4 linked regions of the Sus scrofa genome follow. The protein of the gene in region 3 purifies or fractionates together with the protein of the main gene of each other region. This does not show direct contact. Links are inferred from orthologs where the notes say so. Each region holds a gene or a part of one and is shown on either strand. Other genes may lie near its edges.

Region 1 (3,953 bases), on a different chromosome or scaffold from region 3:
TTAGTGATTTCAGAAGCAAATAATCAGTAGTAATAAAAAAAAATCAGTAGCATCCACACAAGAATAGAACTCTAAGAAATACTGTGGAATCGATTACATTATGTGAAAATTATCCTAGAAACTATATAGAGATTTTTTTTTTTTTTTTTGGCTGTGCCTATGGCACATGGAAGTTCCCAGGCCAGGGATCAAACCCATGCCACCTGAGCCACCACAGTGACCCGAGCCACAGCAGTGATAATACCAGATCCTTAACATGCTGAGCCACCAGGAGACTCCCATATAGAGATATTAACAGTTATTTTTAAGTGCTCTGAAAATATTTTATTCTGAAGTCTAATAACAAAGAAAACAGCTTTTGAGAACCTATCAATTATTCTTCTACCCACGTCAGCTTACCAGTAAGTCAAAAACCTCATTGACGTCTTTCCCCCGAATTTCAATGCCATTAATCTCTAGAACTTCATCTCCTTCATGCAACAGGCCACTTTTCTCTGCAGCACCTCCTTTAACTATCCGACTAATGATGACAGAATCCATTTCATTACGAACTGTAGCACCCTAAAAAATTCAATATCCAATTTTAAAATAAAAATGCGATGTTTTGGTTAAACATTTCCTCATTTTAAAATTCTTATTTTTTTCAATTCAACAATACTAGCCTTCAGTTATCATGAGAAAAAAAATTATTTTTTACTGTTAAAAGTTTTATTGAAGTATAGTTGATTACAATGTTGTGATAATTTCTGCTGTACAACAAAGTAGATTCAGTTATACATGTAAACACCTCTATTCTCTTTCAGGTTCTTCTCCCACATAGTTTATCACAGAATACTACGTAGAGTTTTCTGTGCTACACAGCAGGTCTCTGTTAGCCAATCATTCCATATACCTCAGTGTGCATATGCCAAGCAAGAAAAAATTTATTTACACAGCTAAAGTAGTTACAGCAATTGAAAGCTGATTGTTTCCCCCACATTTTCTGCTTCAGAAGTGTTCTACTCATTAAAATTCTAAAATCAGGCTTTTCAAGCATACAACAGTATAAAAATGCACTTGCTCAAAAACAATGTGAAAGCCTATAATCAAATTTGTTCTCTATATGCTGGATGCTATTCCAATGGTTATATAATTAGTTAACATGACTTGTAAGTCTTTTTAAATTCAATATATGATGAAGCGATGAATACTGGTTAATTATCAAAATGTTAAATATTATAGCTGTCTCCAATTCACATTAAAATGTATTAGGAGTTCCCGTCGTGGCGCAGTGATTAACGAATCCGACTAGGAACCATGAGGTTGCGGGTTTGGTCCCTGCCCTTGCTCAGTGGGTTAACGATCCGGCGTTGCCGTGAGCTGTGGGGTAGGTCGCAGACGCGGCTCGGATCCTGCGTTGCTGTGGCTCTGGGGTAGGCCAGTGGCTACAGCTCCGATTGGACCCCTAGCCTGGGAACCTCCATATGCCGCGGGAGCGGCCCAAGAAATAGCAAAAAGACAAAAAAAAAAAAAAAAAAAAGTATTAAACATTAACATTTATTACACAAGTTGGAAGTAAAATTGAAATTTACACCCTCAAAAAATGGAAATATGAAATACAGAATAAAGCTTGAAAGTAGTTTCTAACACTTTTTTCCTAAATTTTATTTTAAAATTTTGTCATAATTTCCCCAATTTCTTTCTTCTCGTGGGGAAAAAAACCTAGTTACATAAACTGCCCTTTAATAGAATACAGTCCCTATTTCATGTACCACAAGACAATTTGAGACCTTAGGATTCAAGAATATTTTTCTGAAAATAAAAGAAAAGGCAATGATAGTAGACTAAGAGAAAAAAAGTTTTATATACAAAAAATATAAAATATTAACATTAGACAAAGCATACTAAATCTATGTGAAGTATGTAAGTAATTGCACTGAATGAAAAGATCAGAATCTCCAACTGTTGTCTTTTGTTTTTTAAGCTGAGAGAATAATGAAGCAGATTATCTGCGCTTTCTTTGTTCAACAATCACTGCACAAGCTATTATTTGCATCAAATTATGGGTGAGAAAAGATGAACAAATTTTTCTCAGCTGAATAAGGAGTTTGAGCAAGAACACAAAAGAATTCCAACAAATTAGCCTCAAAAGGAAAAAACTACCAGAAATGTCAAGGGTCTTCAATATCTGACATACACCAAGATCCTTGTGTAGACCCGTGGAAAGGATCTCATATCAGAGATGTGGAACACTTACCAACGGAATATCTCGAGCCTTTTCTATACGAACTATTTTTACAGTTTCTCCTCCATACTGGCCAATGCTTTCATAAACTCTCTCATCTGCAATGGGCTCTAGCTGCATTTCCTGCTCAGCAACCTTATCATGGGCCAGTAAAAGTGCCTGTTTCAAAGAAACCCACAGCATTTAAAGTAACAGCATGATTTCTGTACAAAATTTCAAACTAATCATGTAATAGTATCCTGCTCATCAAACCTTTAAAAGAAGTGCTAATTATATATTCAGATCTGTTCCCAAACTTTCCAAGTCAAGTACAACCCTGTATCTTTTATGGCTAATAATAACTAAAGATGTGTTAAGTACAATAGGGAATACTTTGAGATAAGTTACGAAAATCTAAAATGATTATTAAACTTCATAAAAACAAAATCACCTTGGGGTCCAACATCAGAGATAAAATTTATGGACAATATAACCAAAAAAGGGAGGAATTTGTAAAGAATAAAAAGTTGTTTCAAAAATTATGTGGTTAATTTTAAATTTGAAAAAAACATAATCCAACAATAATTATTATGTGATGGGAGTTGAAGACAAAACAGGCTACTTAATATCTGAGGTCTCTTTCAGCCCAAGAGACTTTGATTTGAACTGAGTTTAAAATGCTGGAAAAACTACATATATAATTCTTTGTCCATTGTCTACCTGAATATGCGGTGCATTCAGCAAAGCAGTTAATTCTTGTCCTTCCTTCTGGTGGACTGGCTTCAAAACAGTTTGTACCTAAGGAACAAAGATGATTCTTCCTAGGTTAAGAGAAATTATCACCAGCATCTACATAGGTTTTTTTTGTTTGTTTTTTTTTTAAGGTACAATTTAAAATCCTAAAAACTACTTGTAAGAAAGAAAAACACTAAAGAGAATTATAATTTTTTAAAAAAAGGTTGGGTTTTTTTTTTTTTTGGCTTTTTAGGGCCACACTTGAGGCATATGGAGGTTCCCAGGCAAGGGATCTAATTGAAGGTACAGCTGCTGGCCTACACCACAGCCACACCAGATCTGAGCCGCATCTGCAACCTACACCACAGCTCACAGCAACGCTGCATTCTTAACCATGGAGCGAGGCTAGGGATTGAACCTGAAACCTCATGGTTCCTAGTCAGATTCGTTTCTGCTACGCCACAATGGGAACTCCTAAAAAATGTATTTCTTTCTCACAGTTTTCAATCTTGTTACCATGGTTGACAATAGCATTCTTTATTTATTCCTATGAATGAGGTATTTCCTTCTTGATGATTTCTGCAAACATACTACAAAACAGACTAACAATGATTACATAAGGGAAAGACTGTTCTAATGGTTATGTTGCTATTTTATAGTTTTTAAATCATATTTATGTAACTATATTTTAAATCAGAGGTAACATTTTAAAGAGTTACAGACCAACAAGATAAATTTATATCAGAGTAATGAACAGCCACCATACTATAGTGCATCAAATTAAAACATTTCCTGAAGTCAAGCAATTCTTGCATTCCTAGGATAAACTCCACTTGATTATAATGAATTTTTTTTAAGCCCATGCTTCTTCACCTATAGAATGGTTCTTTCTCACCTGCCACAGAAGGTTCTTAAGACTGACATAATCCACATAAACTGCTTAGCACACTATATAACACAGTAAACTATTACTTTAACATATTTCTAGATGTGAGTTATTCATATTTTAAGATTT
Region 2 (3,953 bases), on a different chromosome or scaffold from region 3:
TGGGAATTAAAAACATAATCTATGTGGTGGCCACATAATTTACACATTAATATAGACTATGGTTAAAGAGTCATTCATTAAGAGTGGGAGGGGAAAAGGAGCTCTTGACATTACATTTCTTTGCTTCTTATTTTTAATCCCAAAGTAGAACAAATTATCTTCATGTTAAAAACAAAAAACAATGAAAGGCCTTGCCAGAAGTCATTCTAGTCCCTGATGTATCCCAGCTGCCATTTCTAACTAACTTCAAATATCATTATTGAATAATACAAGTCTACTTGCCTTACACCAACTGAAAATGATGGTTTTTCTTTTACTATGCTAAATACGAAGTTGGTGCAAGGAGACAAAAGGGAAAATTACTAAATTTTTCATCTAGACTATTAATGAGTGATAGGAACTAACTTTGGTGTTTTTCCCTTTAAAAATAAAGCTAGCTGAATCCAACTGCAGCAGCTGGGTTGCTGTGGAGGCACAGGTTTGATCCCCAGCCCAGTACAGTGGGTGCAGGACTGGGCATTGCTGGGGCTCAGATTCAATTACTGGCCCAGGAACTTCCACATGTCGCCAGTATGGCTAAAAAAGAAGAAATAGTAGTAGTAGTAATAATAATAAGCCTAGTTGACCATAAAAAGGAACAAAACAGTACCATTTGTAGCAACATGGATAGACCTAGAGATTATCACACAAAGTGAAGTTAGAAAGAGACAAGTACCATATGATATCACTTTTATGTGGAATCTAAAATATGGTACAAATGAACAAATCTACAAAACAGAAACACACTTAGAGAACAGCCTTATGGTTGAGGGATGTGGGGGTGGCTTGGGAGTTTGGGCTTAGCAGATGCAAACCTGTATATATACAATGCATAAACAACACGGTCCTACTGTAGAGCACAAGAAACTACAGTCAATATCCGGTGATAAACCATAACGGAAGAGAATATGAAAAAATATATCTATACACAACTGATCATTTTGGTGTATAGCATAAATTAACACAACACTGTAAATCAACTATATTTCAATAAAATTTAAAAAAGAAGGCTAGTTGAAAACTCAGTGGTCTGATTTTTACGTGTGCCTACAAATCTCTTATAAGTATGTGCAATAGCATACGAAATGGTTTTGAGTCAATGTAATATGAAGATCCATTCACAGAAGCACAAAAAGCAATTACTTCCAGAATGTATGTACCTAAATACAAGTCTATCTTGCATGGATGTTTGGATCACAACTTCATCTAGTGTAGTCTTCCCAAGGTAGTCCCTCCTGCATACAGGATTTTAAGTGCTGCTTATGCATGTTCCGCAAAGCAGCATCATACTTACTGTAAAGGGTTTTGCAGCACCTTGATCATCTCTGCTTGAAATAATCTTTGCATTTTTTCTTGTCTCCCTCAAACGCTCTATTGATGGTGGTTTTATAAATATCACATAGGGCTTAAATTCTAGTGTCCTTAAGTGCTTTACTGTCTGCAAGGAAGAAAATAAATTTTGTCATAGTTCTACATAATTCAGGAGTGAATTTTTTTTTTTTTTTTTTTTTTTTTTTTTTGTCTTTTTGCCTTTTTCTTGAGCCGCTCCCATGGCATATGGAGGTTCCCAGGCTAGGGGTTGAATCAGAGCTGTAGCCACCAGCCTACACCAGAGCCACAGCAACTCGGGATCCGAGCCGTGTCTGCAACCCACACTGCAGGTCACGGAAATACTAGATCCTTAACCCACTAAGCAAGGAAGGGCAGGGATTGAACCTGCAACCTCATGGTTCCTAGTCGGATTCATTAACCACTGCGCCGCGACGGGAACTCCAGGAGTGAACTTTTATAATAAAACTGAATTTTCCTTGTAGGGAGAAAATTCGTTAACATTATTTCCTAATGAAAATTAGTAGGTCTTTCAATATATTATCATTCAATTCAATTCATATCAGTTGTTGACAATTAAATGTAATAAACCCCTCTGAAAAGATGGAGAATACAGCTTGCCTTTAAAAATGCTTTGACATATGCCATAATTAATACTGAACAGAAGCAGCTAAAAATAACATGAAACTTGGTTTTATATCTAATACCCAAAAGATGCTATGAGTTAAGTAACTTTCTTTCCATGGAAGTCTCCCAACTGTCCCATTTCAGCCTCTTCCTAATCTCAGCTGAGGTCTCCCCTTTTCTTTCATTCTACCCTTTAGGGGCCCCTTAAAGGGCAAGCTTCCTGCTTTTCACGAAGGACCTCAACACGCCCTGTGGGTAACCAGGAAAATGCTGTGGGCTGGGTTTCTACTGGGGGACCAGGAAATGGATCGTTTCATCCACTGGCACTACATCCAATGTCTGTGAGTTCCCAGGGGGCTGCCAGCTCTACCCAACAGCTGCGCTAAGATGTCACACGGGACAGTTCCTGGGAGATGCCTGGGCTCTTGCCAAGGGTTGCTCTTCTAGGATAGTTACAGAACCAAAATCAGTGAAACAGAACCAAGAGCCCAAATGTCCACTGTTAAACACCGAGGAGTTCCCATGGTGGCTCAGCAGGTTAAGAACCCAACTAGGATCTGTGAGGGTGCGGGGGTGATCCCTGGCCTCACTCTGGGTAAGATCCAGTGTTGCTGCAGGCTGTGGTGTAGGTTGCAGGTGCAGCTTGGATCTGGGGTTGCTGGGGTTGTGGCGTGGGCTGGCAGCTGCAGCTCCGATTGGACCACTTCGCCCAGGAACTTCCATTCAGTGCAGATGCACCAAGGAACTCTGAGAATAATGCATACCGACGAATACATTATACACATATTTTTTAAATACAAAATACATGGAAGAAATATCTAAGAGTCACTATACTTGGCAAACATCGAATCTAAACAAGACCTACAAATAAAAATCTCAAGGCTTCCCTGACCCCTCTTTCTAATAATAATAGTCTTTTTTTTTTTTTTCTTTTCAGCAGACTTCCTAAATTACATCTAAATGCTTTTGTTGCCTTAGGAAAGTCTAAAGTGAGTAGATTTCAGATTTACCCCATACTGAACGGCTCAAATGTGGGCCCAGAAGGGTGTTGAATAGTTCATTGTTCACTTACGTGAGGCTGAACATCCAGCAAGCAAACTTTGTTCTTAGCTAGGACAGACCGAACCGAGTCTATACTTGTGCCATAATAATTGTTTTTATATTCGCCATATTCAATAAACCTGTAGAAAATCAGAATCATTTGTAAATTTTATATACATATATATGTGTATATATATGTATGGCAAGGCATAATGCATATACATGAAGTATGTTTTTTGAACATCTAATTTTTAACTGCTTTAAACAAAATAAATCAGTCCAAGTACTCCAGAATGTCAATTTCAAAAAAAAAAACCTTCTATTTTACATTTTCAAATCAGTAACACTTGCTTGTATTACACTTAAGCAGAAAAAAGTACTTTAGTCCAGCAGTACTCTAATGTCTTCCATCACCTCTTTTTCAGAATGCCGTGCAATAAAACAGTGAATAAGCTGAACAATAGAAACTACTGAAATTTCACTGCACATGAAAAAATAACCAAGCTCAGCTTTAGAACTCGAGGAGTTGGTTGGTGGCTAATGGAACCAGAGCAGCAGATTACGTGCTATAAAAACACAATCGCTGCACCAAATGCAAAAAAAAAGGCATTTTGATGTTTCAATAAAATCCCACAATCCTGCATTAAAACACATATTGCTCCCTGATACCCTGTAATAGTCATGCTTAAGCAAATGGAAAACCTGGGGAAAGGAGACTTTAGGGCTAGCTAAAGGATATGGTACAAGCATAATGATGAACATTATTTCAATTTTTGAAGAGCCAATAGGGGAGGAGTGTGGAAAAGACGGGAATTGGGGATCAGTGGTTAGTTTTTAAAATAAAGTTCTATCCAAATTCTATGTTATGATCCAACTAGTAGGGTAGAAAGGTGTCACACTAGTATACCAGCAACCTT
Region 3 (4,420 bases):
GCTCAGCCACGACCACACACACCTCTCTCCACTCCTTTCAGTGGGTTTAAGCTGGGCTTAATGGGTGCAAAGGACAATTTCTTCCAGACAGTCCCTAAGAATAGACTGTTCTCATGCATTCCAAATGCTCAGTCTCCATGGAGGAGGCTACCTGGTCACAAACATTTCTCAAGAGGGAATATATCCTCAACACCTCTTCATTGGTAACACCCCCACCCCAATAGAACAAAACAATTTCTAACCATCCTGAGAACTTCGGGGCACTTTTTTTTGGAGGGGGGAAGAAAAGAAATCTTAAGAGGGGAGTAGGAGAGTGTGAGAAACTCCTCTTGTCTCCAAATGGAAAAAAGGCCTTAAAAAGCTGGATCAAAGGAAGAAAGGGGGATGGGGGAGAGAGGCTGCTTAATTACAAAGACACCCTTTTAAAGAAGGCGCGGGCCCTGGGAGAGGGCTCTTAGGAGAGGCACAGAAGCAGATGTACCCACTTAGAATTCTGGCACTCAATGGGACCTCAAGGTCATAGCATCCATCCCTCTGCTTTCTGAATAGACTGTTCTTAAGGCATTCTAGAAAGAGACTGATTCGTTCTTTACAAAACTTCAGAAAAAGCAACCACACAAAATGCTTGGGGAGGGTTCATTAGTCTATAAATCCTATTTCATAAACCGGAAATGAGATTTCAATTTCCAAGTCCAAAAGAGTATTGAATGTGAACTTTAAAATTCCCTTCGAAAATCTTTTAAATAGGTAAACAGAGCCGCAATTTCTCACGTAAAAGTTACTCTCTATATAAGTATGGTCAGAGGTTTACTTCGTATCTTGTCTATGAAGTAAGAAAAAGCACTTTCAATTTTACGGAGCCACAGACTTTTCCAAAGAAAGAAGTATCTTAAAATGAGGTATGAGGTAGTGCCAGAAAGTGTCTGCAAATGACACCGGATAAACCCATACAGAATAGCTGGAACCTGAGTTATCATCTGTAAATAGATGCAACTACTCTACAACCACCTGGCTATTAAAATGTCCCAGGCCAGTTATAAAATCTAGTTTGGTCAGGCCAACTTTTCCTTCCCAGCCGATCTGAAATATGATAGCCTTTAAAATTGTCACCCTGTAGCATTCCTTCACTCCTTCCTGCTTTCTTTTCCCCCATTAAAATCAACCAACGAAATTAGGTAAAAATATAAGTAAATAATATGTTCCCAAATAAGCAATGCGTTGAGGACCTCTTGGTAATAGGTCTTCAAGCACCACCATTCTTATGAGTTTGCCATGCTTACTCAATAGGAGGTAGATGGGAGATGGGTAAAGATTTATCCCACTTCCAAAATGGTATTTCAAACTATTCTTAGCTACTAAATGAGGGTGCTGAAAGGTCTAACTGAGAAAGCTTCACAAAGGCTGTCCTGAGAAAGGACTTTTCACAAAGCCTAGTTCAAGGAGACTTAAATACCCTGAGCCCTCCATTATTGAAGATTATGGTGACTAATTATCTTCCTTTCTGAATGGGAGAAGAGGGTTATATTTTTAAAAGTTTTAATTTGCCTCCCAACTTCCACTCTTTATGGGGGTGGGGGAGGAGAGGGAGGAGGAAGGAAAACTAAATTAGACACTCCAAGGTGTCAGAAAATTCTTTCCAAAATGCATGCTAGAGATTGGAATGCTGTTTCTCACAAACTGTCCCTTCCCTCTCTCATTTAATTGTATTTAGTCCCTTGCTGCAAATTATTATTATATTATTATTAGCGGCAATTTACCAGGGAAAGCTCAGTCTATAAAAGACTGTCACTTTCCCTCTCACTTTTTGCCTTCTTTTCATTTTCATACACTGATAAGCCCATCTTGCTGTTGAAGAACCATCATATAGTGACCCAGGCTTGGGACCCTCAAGCACCTGCAAGATCCAATAAAACTAGTTACTAACATCTGTAGTGGCAACCCCCTCCTCACCACACACACACACACACACACACACACACACACACAAACACATATATATATATACCTAAAAGAGTGTAGCATTGTAGATCACTTCAGACTAACTTCAAGAATTCACAGCCCCCAGGGAGGGGAGTGTGAGCCGCCAGCTCAACCCCAAGCATTTAGGAGTAAGCATCTAACAATCTGAGATAAGCCTGGACATTCCTGATGAGTTAAATCCTACTAGACCTCAAGTTCCCTCTGGTCTTTAATTCCTTTTGTGCTTAATTACCTAGAGACCTACAAGGACCCCAGGAAGCAAGAGAGTAAAAGTACCATCGAGTGGTGGTACCCGTTAGCATCTTTGTGGGACTGGAAAGGAGCGCACACTCTTTAACCTATTTAACTTGCTGCACATCCAGGAAAACTCGCGGCCAGCTGCAAAGAAAGTAGAACACACAGGCATCCCCACACGCATCTAGATTGACTCACTCATGCTGAGGTTACGATCAAGTTCATGCCACCATGGATTCCTGCCCCAGATCCCCGCGAAAAGTAACCACGCGTCTCCTACCCCTGTAAGCAACGAAGACAAGGTGACGACTCTGCTCGCTCAAGAGGCTTCCGTCCCAGGCCGGAGGCCAGGGATGGGCAGGAGGGAAGCCCCAACTCCCGGCTGCTCCCCTCCTCGCTGCTCGGTCCGGGCTCTCCTTGGTGGCAGTGGACAAGCAGGATACCGGGCCGGAGGGTGGAGCAGCGGATGGTCGGAGGCGAGACAGACTGGAGGTGGGGGTGGAGGAGGCGGTGAGAACTAAGAGAAGATGAGGCGAAAGGGAGCGGAGATGGAGGAATAAATCAGGGGGTCTACCAGCTTGGGCAGCCAGAAATCTCCTCGGAAGGAAGGGGCGTGACTGCGATCAAGGCAGCTCCTGGGCAAAGGATTGGAGGTAGGGGAGGGGGACGAATGGGTGGCTTTTCTTCTTGCGGTGAGCGGCAAGGACCGCCCAGGAGAGGGGGGGGGAAGGGGAGGTGGACTAGGGAGTGGGGCGGAGTAGAGGGCGGGGAAAGAAGGAAGGGAGTAGCTTGGACGGGGTTGGGGGGGGGAGAGGCGGAGCCAGGGGGCGGGGAAGTTTCAAACAATTGAACGCCAGGGTCGGCCGCTAGGCGAAAGCCGGGGTTGCACTCTCTGGTCCTTCCACTAACCCGGCTCGACTCGGTTACAGTACCCCTGAGAGTCTACACAAGGACTGACTGGGAGGAAGGAAAGGGTTTTGCAAAGACTCCAATAATAGTGTACGGCAACTGCGCAGCGGAGTCGCGTGGGAGAACCAGTGCAGCTCCCCGCCCCACAGCGGGAGGAAGAAAAACAAATAATAGAAACGCTGAAAAGCAGCTTCAGGCAAAGCTTGCTTAAAATAATGCAGGAAGGAGCAGCGCTCCTCCGTTTTCCTTCCCCTCTTGCTTCCTATGACCAGCAGGCCCCCACCCAGGTCGCAACTATGCGAGACACCCTCCTTTCTTCCTCCGCTCCCCCAGCCACCCCCTTCCTCCCCCGCGCCACCCTACGTCCCCGCCCCGCTCCCGCGGCTGGCCGCGCTGGCCGCTAGGGTGGCGGGGGCGGGGCTCTGCGGAGCCTCCGCCTCTTGGGCGGGCAGGAAGGGCCGGCTTGGGCGGAGCCGGCCCGGAGGAGTAAGTCCCACCCACCATTCTTTGGCAGTTCCCGGTTGGCGACTCCTGGCCTAGGGTTCGCTTGCGATTGGTCACTTGCGTCGTCGATCCGATCCTTTTGTCCCACCCGCCCTCAAAATTAATAAAACTAAACAAGCGGCTATTGTCTAGCTCTCGGTTCTTCCCCAGCTATTGCTGCGGAAAGAAAGATGAGACGCTTGGTCTCTCAGTCTCCTAAGAGAGTGCGATAGAGTGTTGGCCGGCTCTAGTACACCTTTGTGGCACTGCTCGGCCCTCTGGGAATAGGTAACTTTTCTTCCTCCCTAATTCTTTAGCCCAAGAGGAGGAAAAAAAGTACGAGAAGTGTCAATGTGGCGTTCACATTTCCAGGCTGCGAAAAATTGGTATTGCTTAAAGAACACAGGGTTGAGAACAGCCGCTCAGGACACTGAAAATCAACCATTTTACAACCAGGAAACGAAACCACAAAGAAATTGAATAACCTGGAATTTGGAACTAAGGGAAAAACTCACTTCGAACTCAAGCACTTATCAGCTAGTTGTGTGACTTTAAGTCCCTTAATTTCTATGAGCCTTAATTTTCCCATCTGTAAATAAAAGGCTATAAGATGTGTCCTATTAACTTAATGGCACTGGTATATGAAAATAAAATGAATTGTGTGTGAAAACTCCGTAAACCACAAAGCGCTCCGCACGTGTATGGGTTCCTACTTGTGTTTGTCACCTGGTGGAGATTTTTACAAGTGTTTGGGAATCAAATATTCTGCTCATCTGTTTTAAGCTTTCATAGCCAAGGTGTGTAGGTTTATTTT
Region 4 (3,953 bases), on a different chromosome or scaffold from region 3:
AGTCATCAATGTAGCAACAACAGTAATTAAAGCCATAACCAGATGAAATCACCTAGGAGAAGAATATCTGAAATTAACCTAATTGTAATAATCATCTGGGATGTTTGGTAAAAATACAATTTCTACACTCCAGTGAAGATTTTCAAGCAGAAGACTGAAATAGAGCCTGAGAATCATATTTTTAAGATGAACTCAAAGTAATTCAGGTGACTCTAGGGAGAGATTAAATTATGTTAAACTGAACATTACAGTAGGTTCAGGAACGTCAGTTCTTTTTACTTAGAACTACTAAGCAGTTCAATCCACTTGCGTTTGCAGAAACACAGGAGGTCAATAATATTTACCTCAGAGGACTTCTGTGAGCATTAAATTAGCCTATATGTAAAGCACCTAGTCATAGTGAGCATTCAGCAAATGTTAGATGGACTTCCATTAGTGCTTGGAGGGATCTTGTGAGGCAACGTGATATAGTAGAAATAACGTGGGCCCTATCATCAGACAAACCTGGGTTCAAAGCCTAGCCCTTATACTTATTTTCTGACTGTGGGCAAGTTTCTTATTCTAAGCCTCAGTTTCTTCATTCTGCCTTACAGTGACGTTGTGAGGATTAACCACAATCATGTACATAAAATGTTAAAGTTAAGCAAGTTGTGTAAATCATACAATGGAATCCTAAATAGCTATGAAAATAAATGCTACATGCAGGAACACAGAGGACTCTCAAATAAAAGAAGTCAACATAGATGAATACATATGGAATGATTACACTTAAATAAAGCTTGAAGAGTAGGCAACATGAAATACATTGTTTAGGGATGTATATACATATGTGGTGAAAGTATAGAGAAAAGAAGTGATTATAAAGCCCTGAAATAAAGGTTACCTCTGTAGAAGAAAATGATTTTTCAGGGTCTTCAAAAGTACTAATAATCTAGATCTTCAGCTGAATGATGGGTATGGAGCTTCGTTTAAAAATTACTTTCAGGAGTTCCTGTCGTGGCACAGTGGTTAACAAATCCTACTAGGAACCATGAGGTTTCGGGTTCGACTTCTGGCTTTGCTCAGTGGGTCAAGGATCTAGCGTTGCTGTGAGCCGTGGTGTAGGTCGCAGACGCGGCTCGGATCCAGCTTTGCTGTGGCTCTGGCATCGGCCAGAGGCTACAGCTCCGATTAGATCCCTACCCTGGCAACCTCCATATGCCGCGGGAAGCAGCCCTAGAAAAGATAAAACAAACAAACAAATAAATAAATAAATAAAATAAAAATTACTTTCAGGAGTTCCCGTCCTGGTGCAGCAGAAACAAATCCGACAGGAACCATGAGGTTGTGGGTTTGATAACTGGCCTTGCTCAGTGGGTTAAGGATCTGGTGTAGCCATGAGCTGTGGTGTAGGTCACAGACGCGGCTTAGATCTGGTGTTGCTGTGGCTCTGGGGTAGGCTAGAAGCTACAGCTCCAATTCGACCTCTAGCCTGTGAACCTCCATATGCCGCAGGTGCAGCCCTAAAAAGGTAAAAATAAATAAATAAATAAATAAAAATTATTTTCAAAATATTGTTAAAATTTGAATGTTAACATTTCAAATTAACAAAATGTAAAGGGGTTAACAAAAATGCTAATGATATTTAGATATAATTAATCCTAACATTCATTTTGTAAGTCTTAAGTGTCTAAGGGATTCACCCACATTTATCCAACAGAGTTGAGACCTGACCCAAGACTTCTGGCTTCTATCCAGTGATAATACCATTTTATATGTTGCTGCATTAATAAACTGTATAAATATGTACAAATTTTATGATTTTACTCACCACTCTGATAGTACTTAGAATCATGTGTCCATCTGAAGCCAGTGCAGAGGCCGAAGTCAGTCAATTTAATGTGACCATCACGATCAATCAAAATGTTATCAGGTTTAATATCTCTATGAATAAAACCCATTTTATGAACACTTTCAACTGCACAGGTAAGTTCTGCTATGTAGAACCGTGCCAGATTTTCTGGAAAGATGCCCATTCTAATTAATAGGCTCATCATATCACCCCCAGGAATATAGTCCATTACAAAGTATAAATTGTCCTTATCTTGGAATGAATAGTAAAGACGAACTACCCATTCGTTGTCAGCTTCGGCCAGGATATCTCTCTCAGCTTTAACATGAGCAACTTGATTTCGAAGCAGAACATCTTTCTTTCGAAGAGTTTTTGTTGCATACAAAGCCTTAGTATCTACTTTTCTTGCTAGACAGACTTCACCAAATGCTCCTATTCCTAATGTCTTTATCTTCACAAACATAGACTTGTCCATTTTAGCCCTTTTAAGACGGATGTAATTAGACTCTTTTTGGCAAAGCATCTTTCTCATTTGATCTTGGGCATCTTGAGATAATCCAACCTAGGCAAATAAACTAAATATTAAATGAGGAATTATCTTCTATACTGAGTATTAAGAAATCGCTTGGAAAAAATTCAGGCATATATTTAAAGGTTAAATGCATAATAATTTTTAATAAAGCATGTTAGAAATCTAGAATATATTTCAGAGAAAATTATCAAAAGTGCAGCCTAAGAGATAGTTAACAGGATATACAAAGTGAGTTATATATGCAGTCTGCTGTGGACAGCAAGAAGACATCAATGGTCAGCTTTCTACTCCTCTCTAATGCACTCAAAAAAATGCTCCCAGTGCAATAACCAAACATGTTAACATGCACCCTCATCTCTCTCTCCATGCATATTCAACCCAAACTACATAATTAGATTGCCTTCATCATATGCTTCTCTTTGTGGAATGCCTAGGAGTACACAGTCCCTTACAGAGTATAAATTGTCCTTATCTTGGAATGAATAGTAAATGAATTAATTTTATCCTTCATGAAAAGAAATTCTTCCACTCCAGGCTCATTTATTCTAAAATACTGATGTATTAAGAACAAAAGAAATGTCTTCTCTAACCTAAACCCTCATTAAATAGTCAGTCTTTCCTTTTGTAACTCTCAGGGCATCGGGGTAATAAGGGTAGGACTCACAGCCACCACTAACGCAAAATGCAAAGGGTATGTCATGTCTTAGTTAAAAGGGACAACTTGTTTGATTACAAGGTATCTGTTAGATATTCTGCAACACTTCAAAGAATAGTCAGTGTGACTTATGAAGATTAACAAAAAACCAAATTCTAAGTACATATGGAATACCTAAATTTAGATGGAAGGAACGGTTTATTTTTGACTAGTTAATAAATAATTTAAGGATTTAAATAGAAAAAGAATTTGATTTGAAAGGTAGAGTATAATTCTAGAAATGCAAAACTAATTAAAATATAGCAACCTCATGCTTCTGTTAGGATGCACATTTGCATGCAAAATCTTTTAAGAAAGGTGGCATGCCAGACTTAGTATAGAACTGTTTCTCTTAAAATCTTACTTGCCTACACAGTAATGGAGGCTACAGAAGTCAGCAAAGCTTCCAACACCATAAAAGTATAAATCAGCTATTAGTGAAAGTGAAGAGGAAAAAGGAAAAATAAACTAAGAAAATACATACAGACAAGACCTTAGTAAGAAATCCTAAGAGCTAAAATGCGGATCAGTTATATAGGTAATCATGGTATTTCTCATCTAACAAAATTCAACTTATAGCAGGAATAACTACACTGTGAAATCAGATTTAGAAAAATTATTTTGCGAGAATGGCTCTCAGAAGTTCCCGTTGTGGCTCAGCAGGTTTTGAACCCAACTAGTATCCATGAGGATTCGGGTCCATCCCTGGCCTCAATCAGTGGGTTAAGGATCCGGTGTTGCTTAGCTATGGTGCGGGTCACAGGTGCAGCTCGGATCTGGCATTGCTGTGGCTATGGTATAGGCCGGCAGCTGTAGCTCCGATTTGACCTCTCGCCTGGGAACTTCCATATTCTATTGCAGGTGCAACCCTAAAAAGCAAAAAAAAGAAGAATGGC

The links.
Region 1: the proteins of AMOT (region 3) and MPP5 purify together in Homo sapiens (affinity purification with mass spectrometry; 6 studies listed by BioGRID and IntAct, counting the BioPlex papers as one, with this or other methods). This does not show direct contact. The link is inferred for Sus scrofa from reciprocal best matches to the Homo sapiens genes AMOT and PALS1.
Region 2: the proteins of AMOT (region 3) and MPP7 purify together in Homo sapiens (affinity purification with mass spectrometry; 3 studies listed by BioGRID and IntAct, with this or other methods). This does not show direct contact. The link is inferred for Sus scrofa from reciprocal best matches to the Homo sapiens genes AMOT and MPP7.
Region 4: the proteins of AMOT (region 3) and LATS1 purify together in Homo sapiens (affinity purification with western blotting; 3 studies listed by BioGRID and IntAct, with this or other methods). This does not show direct contact. The link is inferred for Sus scrofa from reciprocal best matches to the Homo sapiens genes AMOT and LATS1.

What each region holds. Positions count from the first base shown.
Region 1 is NC_010449.5:91,010,865-91,014,817, reverse strand, and holds part of MPP5 (MAGUK p55 subfamily member 5), read right to left. Parts: intron 3,002-3,953; coding exon 2,924-3,001; intron 2,384-2,923; coding exon 2,237-2,383; intron 562-2,236; coding exon 400-561; intron 1-399. UniProt on the Homo sapiens protein: Plays a role in tight junction biogenesis and in the establishment of cell polarity in epithelial cells.
Region 2 is NC_010452.4:39,536,119-39,540,071, forward strand, and holds part of MPP7 (MAGUK p55 subfamily member 7), read right to left. Parts: exon of another isoform or gene 3,462-3,953; intron 3,177-3,461; coding exon 3,068-3,176; intron 2,985-3,067; exon of another isoform or gene 2,933-2,984; intron 2,337-2,932; exon of another isoform or gene 2,193-2,336; intron 1,478-2,192; coding exon 1,334-1,477; intron 1-1,333. UniProt on the Homo sapiens protein: Acts as an important adapter that promotes epithelial cell polarity and tight junction formation via its interaction with DLG1. Involved in the assembly of protein complexes at sites of cell-cell contact.
Region 3 is NC_010461.5:92,644,936-92,649,355, forward strand, and holds the start of AMOT (angiomotin), read right to left. Parts: upstream 2,928-4,420; 5' UTR 2,495-2,927; intron 2,432-2,494; exon of another isoform or gene 2,413-2,431; intron 1,462-2,412; exon of another isoform or gene 1-1,461.
Region 4 is NC_010443.5:16,302,165-16,306,117, reverse strand, and holds part of LATS1 (serine/threonine-protein kinase LATS1), read right to left. Parts: intron 2,394-3,953; coding exon 1,811-2,393; intron 1-1,810. UniProt on the Homo sapiens protein: Negative regulator of YAP1 in the Hippo signaling pathway that plays a pivotal role in organ size control and tumor suppression by restricting proliferation and promoting apoptosis.